Linked DNA regions of Sus scrofa. The protein of the gene in region 2 interacts with the protein of the main gene of each other region in a pairwise test. Links are inferred from orthologs where the notes say so. Each region holds a gene or a part of one and is shown on either strand. Other genes may lie near its edges.

What was found.
Region 1: the proteins of BRAP (region 2) and NUMA1 interact in a two-hybrid assay, tested with the Homo sapiens proteins (2 studies listed by BioGRID and IntAct). The link is inferred for Sus scrofa from reciprocal best matches to the Homo sapiens genes BRAP and NUMA1.

The regions. Positions count from the first base shown.
Region 1 is NC_010451.4:6,659,939-6,664,875, forward strand, and holds the start of NUMA1 (nuclear mitotic apparatus protein 1), read right to left. Parts: upstream 3,029-4,937; 5' UTR 2,852-3,028; intron 2,829-2,851; exon of another isoform or gene 2,714-2,828; intron 1-2,713. UniProt on the Homo sapiens protein: Microtubule (MT)-binding protein that plays a role in the formation and maintenance of the spindle poles and the alignement and the segregation of chromosomes during mitotic cell division.
Region 2 is NC_010456.5:32,820,947-32,825,372, forward strand, and holds part of BRAP (BRCA1-associated protein), read right to left. Parts: intron 3,891-4,426; coding exon 3,742-3,890; intron 1-3,741. UniProt on the Homo sapiens protein: Negatively regulates MAP kinase activation by limiting the formation of Raf/MEK complexes probably by inactivation of the KSR1 scaffold protein.

The DNA of each region.
Region 1 (4,937 bases), on a different chromosome or scaffold from region 2:
ATGCAAATTAAAAACACCGTAAGACATCACCTCACACCTGTTAGAATGGCTATTATCACAAAGAGAAGGAGTTCCCAATGTGGCTCAACAGGTTAAGAACCTGGCATAGCTTCTGTGAGGATGCAGGCTCAATCCCTGGCCTGGCGCAGTGGATTAAGGATCTAGCATTGCCACAAGCTGCAACATAGGTCGCAAATGGGGCTCAGATCCAATGCTGCTGTGGCACAGGTCTGCAGCTACAGCTGTGGTTCAACCCCTAGCCCAGGAAGTTCCATACACCACAGGTGCAACCATAAAAAGAAAACAAAAAAGTAAAATAAAGTAATAAAATAAAACAAGTGAGAACAAATAACAAGTCCTGGGAGGATGTGAAGCCTTATGTACTGCTGGTGGGAAAGTATACTGGTGGAACCATTATAGAAAACAGCATAGAAATTCCTAAAAAATTAAAAACACAACTACTGGGGTGGGGCTCCAATTCGACCCCTAGCCTGGGAACCTCCCTATGTGTGGGTGCAGCCCTAAAAAAATATATATTAAAAAAAAAAACAACAACAACAACCGAGAAAAAGGCAGGTTACATACAATGATATAATAGTTAAATTTTGAGTACAGTTCTCAAGAGTAACAACAAAATGCCAGAGTTTCAGTAAAATAACATTAGGGTTAGGGTTAGGGTATGGGGTTAGGGTTAGGTTAATAACATTTTCAAAGTGCTAAGAAAAAAAAAGAATTGGAAGCCTAGTACCCAGCTAAACTACCAATCAAGACTGATTAAACCTATTAAAGCTATTAACCCTATTAAAGATATTTCCCACCACAGAGTATTTACCACTAACCGACCCTCACTATGAAAACAGCTGAAGGATGTATTCACCTACCCAACACAAAAAGAGGGAATAAAATGCAAGAAAGAATCGTGGAAACAAACAGTAAACATGAATGGGTAAAATGAAATAATCACTGACAGCACAAAATAATTGTGATTTATCAGAATCGTTCAACACAGACAGAGTACCTTTGGGGTGTTCTCATTCTTAGAAGTGCTGTTTTGAGTCTAGACAATACCTTTTGATATGCTTAGAGTACAGAATAAGAGGCTGAAATAAATGACCCCCAACATACCTACTGACCACAGGGTTTTATTAATTAGACCCAGCTGTCAAACATTCCCTGATCAACTCTACTCAGCCATCTGAGGCAGTGCTTTTCCCATCCTAACATATCTAGATCTTGACCCAAAAAGACAAAAACAAAACAAAAAAATTAATTAAAATAAAAAATAAAAAATTTTTAAAGGACACGCTAAATGGAAATATTCCTTACATGAGCTTTCGGTTAAGGTGTTCTAATTTGAGGAATTATCGTTTCTGGCTTTGAATTAAGATTCAGGCTTTACAATGAGTCATCATTTGCTTGAACTTGGGCCAAGAAAAGAGTACCCTGTAGCTTTTTACAGAGAAGTGTGTGTTTCTTCCTCTGAAGGAGAAAATACCACCCAGGAAGAGACAGGGAGGGAATGCATATACTCTTCCCCGCTGCCTAAAAGTTGCCTTAGCCTGATCTGAACATTCTCTCTAGGCTCTCATCAATTCACAGCAGGAAAGATCTCCACAAGGCAGAGAGCTCCAATTCCCTTCCCATCCAAGGTTTCTGGCCACAACACTTGCCAATCCAGAGCCTTAGAAACGCAGGACCTGGCAACAGACCCCAGAGAAAGGGCAGCGTGGTTTAAAGTAAGTAGTAGTATATTTTCTGGAGGCAGTGCCACTCTGGGCACGAGGCTAACTTAATACAGAGATGCAAAAGCCACTAAATAAAGATGGGAAAGCCAGGTTCCTATCCCCTTTCAGCCCAAAAAAGCTCATTCATTTCAAAGCATATGTTAACTAATGGCCACAATACATTTCACACTCTGCACAGGCATCAGGATACAGGGGCAAAATATTCCGTCTCTATCTAGTAGGGCAGACAAATGCGCAGACACTCCGAACACCAGATGAAAAACGCTACCTTAGGGGTGAGCAAAAGAGGGGGCCCAGAAGGGGCAGCATCCACCCAGAGGAGCTCTCTTGCACCAATAACCTTCACACGGTCACATCACTTATGGTCATGAATGTGTACTCTCCGAGACGCTTCAAAGAAACACTTTACCTAATTTGACCCGCACACCCCCCACCCCCCGTCCAACAACCCCAGGAAAGTAGGTAAGGGCACGTAAACTCGTTGTTTACACCACACGTGAAAAAGTGAGGCTCACAATAAATTGACTCGTCCGAGACAACCCTCACTGCCAATAAAGCACCTCCTTCCCACTCAGGCCCCACCCACAAAGACGCCAGTGGAGCCAACCACGCACTGGTTATACAACCCCGGCCAAGCCGAACATAAACCTCAGAAGGGCCCCGCTGTAGTAAAGTGTGACAAAGCTGCGGGACTGTTTAAAAGAGGATCCACATAACGGGCGTGGCACAGCCTCTGAAACGTCGTCGGTGCTCGGGAACTGTTTACTAGTAGTACTACCGCTATTGTTAGCAGTAACGGGCGAGGACCATTACTACAGGAAGCCGCGGCCACAGGCTTTGAGGAAGCTGCACCACCCGCACCCCGTCGCCCGCAGACTCGATGCCACGGACACGCCCCCGAGCAGGCCCTCCCCCGAAGCACGTCCGCCGCCTCCCCTCGGACAAGGCCCTCTCCTCACAACCCTTACCCGCGACAGACTCTCCCCACTCAGCCTCGGTGAGGAACGAGGCCTTCCGTTCGCACCCGTCTCTCAGCACCCCCTTTAGGCCCCGGCTTCCCTGCGGGCGCCCAGGCCGCACACCAGCAGCGGGCCCGCGCCGCTTACCTGGCCGCGCGCTCCCGCTCCGCCTCTCGCCTACCCGGGATCGCCTTCGCCACGGGCTCGCGCCAGCGAGGCGAGCGCACAATTAGTTTAAACTATGGCCCCGCCCCCTCGCGCCGCCCTGCGATTGGTCCGTGTCGGCTGGCGTCGCACGCCCAGGGCACGCTGGAGGACCCGCGAAAAGGAAGTGGGAAGGGAGAAAGGGTGCCACAACTTCCGGAGCCCGGCCCGCGGCTTGAGGGCAAAAGCAACTACAAGTCCCAGCACCACCCGCGGCCTTGGCGCCCCCACCCGCCACGAACTGCAGCTCGCGGAAGGTATCGCGGTAGCGCCTACCGCGCCAGCCGGGACTTGTAGGCGAAGGTGGTTACCATGGAGTTGCGCCGAGTAACGCTGCGATAGTAGGACGCTGAGGCTGGCGGGGAAGCACTTGCGGGTGAGTTGAGCGGGGAGGGGCACGCAGGAAAAACTAAGAACTTCTCTCCTCGGGGATCTGAGACAACCCCGTCTTAACCCTTTTCACAACGACAAGGCACAAACCCATATGGGATAGACGGGCTCGTGGGGGGGGGGGGGAAGGCGGAGATAAATACCCATACAGATGTGGGGGTGCTTAAGATCGCCATCATCACAGAATAGGACCCCCTAATACTACTGTCTCAAGTCCCTGACACATTCTGGAAGATCTGAAACTTCTTCAGATATAGGGTTGGTTTTCCTCTGATCAACAGAAGACCCTCTGCAAGACATGGGAGTGGGATTAGAGCAAATCAAAAGTCTCTAATTCTGGGGATGTAGGAAAATTTCTGGGGCTTGAACGGCCCCTTTCCTTCCAGGCAGGAAGACCCAGAGTAGAGCCTCCTTTTCAGAGAGTCAGCAGGATCTTCCACACATACTTAGGAGGGGTCCTGTCTTTACCTCTTCTCCCTGCACCTCCTCTGTTGTCCGTCTCCCCAAGGTCTGCAATTAGAGCTTCATTCCTTTTCCAGACTTCATGACAGATCCGTTACATCTAGTAACTTACCTAGTGCTTTCACAGCCTCTTTCTTTTGAACTTTGTGAATCCAAGAATATTTATCCCATATCACAGACTGGAAAACCAACCTAGTGAGAAGTAGTGACAGAGGCCACGCACCAAGTCAGTGACAGCTAGGACTAGATCCCTGTTTGCCAACTTCCAGCTAAGTCTCTAGCTTGAGCTTACAGCCTCTCTAGTTTAAGAATGTGTTCAAAGTAGTAGATTAAACTGTCCCAGGGACAGTTTTTAAATGGGCTGTCGTGGGGGGGAGTGAACAATATCAGATTTGCATTTTGCAGGATTACTCTGGTTGCAGTAGGCAAAATGGCTGGGAGGGAAGGCAGAAAGGAAGTGATGGTAGCTCGGACTAGAGAAAAGACATTTAGGAAGCAAAGCTGACAGGTATTTATTCTGGATGGGAAATGGAAGGGGTATTCAAGGTAACTCTTGGTTTTCTGACCTCCGTAATGGTGGGGAGAGGGGAGAACACCGGAAGAGATCCAGGAGTACCCAGAGAGTATGAGTTCACCTGCAGACGTGTTGCAGGCGCCTGTCTTGGAGATAGCCTGGAAGTGGTGAAGAGGCAATTGGTTATACAGATTGGGAGCTCAGAGATGAGGACCAGGCTGGGCTTGAGTAAATTCAAGTGTGGCCTGGCCTGCCAGTGTTCCATGAGCTGTGGTGTAGGTCGCAGATGCATGTGGGATCCGGCGTGCCTGTGGCTGTGGTGTAGGCCAGCAGCTGCAGCTCCGATTCAACCCCTAGCCTGGGAACTTCCATGTGCTGCAGCTGCAGCCCTAAAAAGACAAAACAATAATAATAAAAACTTACCAAAAACTTGCCCTTAAGTATTTTAAGCTAAAATCCATGTCCAGCAGTGCTGGACTCCAAGGTCCCAACTCGGACTCGCTTTGAGAAAAGTACTCAGTCTTGCTCAGAGGCATCCAGCTTGTGGGTGCTCATGTGGGACCGGTCGAGGTGAGAACACGAGCCAGCTCCCCTGTTTCTACAAAAGAATAATGTGCTCTTTATTATGTCTGCAGATTTGATATCCAAAGATTCAGGCCCCCC
Region 2 (4,426 bases):
TCAATCCCTGGCCTTGCTCAGTGGGTTAAGGATCTGGTGTTGCCCTGAGCTGTGCTAGGTCCCGGATGAGGATTGGATCCAGCATTGCTATGGCTGTGGTGTAGGCCTGGCAGCTATAGCTCTGATTTGACCCTTAGCCTGGGAACCTCCATATGCTGTGGGTTCGGCTCTAAAAAGGCCCCCCCTCCCTGCAAAAAAGAATATAATTTGTTTCACTTGATTACCCCAGTGAACCAATAAAACCAAGCAAAGGAAATAAGCAGGAAGAACACTAAGTCCTTGTCACAGATAAGGACTATGTTTCCCAAGAGAAAGCTAACGGATTTATTGTGTCTCTTTTTTCAGTATCAAAAGAGAAGACAGGAAAACTTGAAGAAATAACAGAAGTGGCAACAGTATACTGAAAGCAGTCTTGTCAAAGGGAGAAACTAGCTCTGGGTCATCCCTTCAGTCTTTGTGGTGGCTGTAGTAGTGGCGGAATTCTGAAATTTAATTTTCTACACTGTTTCAGAATGATTTTTCAGAAATGTATGATCCTGAGAATAAGAAGGCAAAAGGGGGAAAAATTACAAAAGTAAACGTATGTGTACTATATTATTAGCACTCTGTGATATACCATCTCCTCTCTATATTAAAAAATAATTGGGGAGTTCCCGTCGTGGCGCAGTGGTTAACGAATCCGACTAGGAACCATGAGGTTGTGGGTTCGGTCCCTGCCCTTGCTCAGTGGGTTAACGATCTGGCGTTGCCATGAGCTGTGGTGTAGGTTGCAGACGCGGCGCGGCTCGGATCCCGCGTTGCTGTGGCTCTGGCATAGGCCGGTGGCTACAGCTCCGATTCAACCCCTAGCCTGGGAACCTCCATATGCTGCGGGAGCGGCCCAAGAAATAGCAACAACAACAACAACAAAAGACAAAAAAAAAAAAAAAAAAAAAAAAAAAAAAAGATTATAAAAAATAATTGGGAGTTCTTGTTGTGGCGAGCGGAAACAAATCCATCTACTATCCATGAAGATGTGGGTTTGATCCCCGGACTTGCTCAGTGGGTTTGGGATCCTGCATTGCTGTGGCTGTGCTGTAGGCCAGCAGCTGTTGTTCGAATTTGACCCCTAGCCTCCGGAACTTCCATATGCCACAAGTGTGGCCCTAAAAAGCAAAAAAGCAAAAAACAGCTTATTAAATTCCTCCTGCTGCCCCTTCAAAAATAATTGTGAATTGTCATCTTATTTTCCTGAGGAGATACTTGGAGAAATCCTGTCAGAATGACCTTCCCTGACAAGAAACCACCCTTTGAGGCCTGGTGCCAATACTATCTTATGTAAGCAGGCCTTCCAGGCCACCCCCATGGGGGAGCCACCTCCATCTCTAGTCTCTACCTTGAGCTCTAAGTATATACGGATATGTGGTTCTCCCTTAGCAGCCTCAATGTCCCTAAGGAGGACGAGTGACTCTCCCCACCTTGGCAATGAAGTGTGCATATACAAAGGCTCAAAAACCCCCTGCTGAAGGCACTGTATGGTTTTGAGGGCAGCTGCCAGGTGGGCTGAATTCTGGTCCCAGTTCCAGCATTCACTATTCTGACACTTTGAGCACGCTAATTTCACTTCTAAGCCTCAGTTTCCTCTCCTGTAAAATGAGGAGGTTGGACAAGATAGTCTCTGAGGAAACTTCCAACTTGAAACAGCTATGGTTCTACAATTTTTTTTTTTTTTTTTTTTTTTTTTTTTGTCTTTTTGCCATTTCTTGGGCCGCTCCTGTGGCATATGGAGCTTCCCAGCCGAGGGGTCTAATCCGAGCTGTAGCTGCTGGCCTACGCCAGGGCCACAGCAACGGGGGATCCGAGCTGCGTCTGCAACCTACACCACAGCTCACAGCAACGCTGGATCCTTAACCCCCTGAGCAAGGGCAGGGACCGAACCCGCAACCTCATGGTTCCTAGTCGGATTCGTTAACCACTGCGCCACAATGGGAACTCCTGGTTCTACAATTGTTAACTTGTACTGAAAATAAAGCTGGAATGGTGGTATAGCACAGGGAACTGTATAAGGGAAAAGATTTTCAAAAAGTATATATATGCATAACAATCGCTGTGCTGTACTGGCTGAAACATGATACTGTAAATCAATACTTTGACTGAAAGAAAATAAAAATCTGGAGCGGCGGGAAAACAAAGAAGCATCCTGACCTTAAATGCTGTAACAGATGGATACAAGATACAAATAAAACTTTATGGAATGCATACATCTCAGCTTGGCTTTATTCAAGGCAAATTTAAACCTGGACAATTCCCTGAAGAACCCCCAAATGATACCCCAGAAGTGACCAAGGACTCTACAGAACTGGGGCAAGATTCCCCTTCAGTTTAATTAGCCATGGAAAAGCCAGGGTTTATTAATTTGCTCAAAGATATTTACATAGTTCCCCCTGCATCCCATGTGTCTTGCTAAGTGTGAGGGGCAAAGCAGTCACCAGCCAGACAAGGTCTCTGCTCGCAAGGAGGTGGAGAACAGGGAAGGATTCCCATGGACTTTCACCTCTCCTCCCTCCTGGGCTTTGGGATGTGATCTTTCCCTTTGTGCATGCCCCTCCCCGACACCACCCTCTCTGGGTCCTACCCTTCATGTGGCTAATCCCCATGCATCTTCCCTGAGATACTGCCTCCCAGTCAGTGCTGGCTGCGTCAGGGCCTATTCTCTAGTCACAACACTGCTTCTTTGTAACACTTTTGGTGTCTGTGACTTCAGTTATTTGTGTGATTATTTGATTTTGCACCTTCCCCTCTGTACTGAGAAATCCATGAGGCCAGGGTCTAGCTAAGACCCACAACACAGTTTGCAAAGGGAGCAGCAACCTTTGATGAAACAAAACAAAACAAACCATACAGGTTATACCTCATTTCTTTGTCTACATAATGCCACCCGACAAATAAAGCCTCTGCTGCGTCCGGAAACAGGACACCACAATGGTGTGTGTGTCTCACACTTAGTTATTAGTGTTACTACTGGCCACTGAGTCATCAATAGCACAATAAACCCAAGATGTGAGATTTCTGTAGCCCAGCAATCTTTGGTAAGAAAGCCAAAGTAAATGGTAGACATGAAATGCAAGCGATAAACAAGATTTTAAACCCAGACATCATTTTTTTTCCTGTCTTTTAAGGTCAGTGCCTGAGGCACATGGAGGTTCCCAGGCAAGGGGTCTAATCGGAGCTGCGGCTGTCGGCCTGCGCCAGAGCCACAGCAACGCCAGATCCGAGCCGCGTCTGCGACCTACACCACAGCTCAGGGCAATGCTGGATCCTTAACCCACTGAGCAAGGCCAGGGATTGAACCCGCAACCTTATGGTTCCTAGTCGGATTCATTTCCGCTGCGCCACGATGGGAACTCCTAGACCTAGAAGTCATTTTGACATGAGCCTCGAAGTCATGCTTTACTTTTTCTTTTCTTCCTTCTCATTTTCTGGGTCTTGAAAGAACAACTTGTGCTGCTCTGGGACATTCCACAAGGATTTGGAATCAGCATACCAACAGGACTTGGTCTAGGAATGCTGACTCCCACCTGAGCTGAGGAAAGTGAAGAAGCAATGTGGAAGGCCCTTCTATGTGTCATCTTTATCATCCTGCTACCCAGGCTTATAAATTCAAATACTTGGAGTGTTTCATCTTGGGAGGTGGCCGTTCTTAATCCTAGGAAGGGATAACAATGCACTTTGACAGGGTGGGGGGTGAGCTCCCGCACTCACGTCGTGTCGTCCCAGCGCTGTAGACACTGGCTGTGGAAGCTGTGGTTACATAAGGTGGTGAGGATGCCATTCACGGACTCGTCCATGCGCTCCAGACACACCGTGCACTTGGGGAGCTCGGTCAGGTCCATCACGGGGAGGCTGGCACCCTACAGGGAAACACCTTGAATAAGCCTCACTCATCATCCACGGGTTCAAACTTTTTTTCTTTTTTTTTAAGTAACAGTTTTCCTGTTACTTTTTGATTCCTGGCAGGATGTTCCCAGTATTATTGCTCTGTGGAAAATAACCTAAATTGGTAAGATTTTCATCCATGCAACAAATACTAATTTAGCATATCCTATAGTCCCAGCACTGTGCTGGGCACTCGGGACACCCTAGTGAACAAAGCAGACAAAGATCCTGTCCTGGTGGAGCTGACATTCCAGGAAGGGAGACTGCTGACAGAATCATAACAAAGAATCTAAAAGTTACCAGATGCCTAGTTCATGGCCACGACTATAAAGGAAGATAAAAAAGCAGGAGAATAGGAGTGGATCTCAATGATTTTTCCACAGCGCAAATTAAAACTTAACACTTTCTGCTAAGTGATAATTGTATCAAGAACACTGATTTATTTATTCATTTAATACATGCTTACTAAGTCCCTGTTATGTGTGCCAGACACTGTTCAAGGTATGGAACA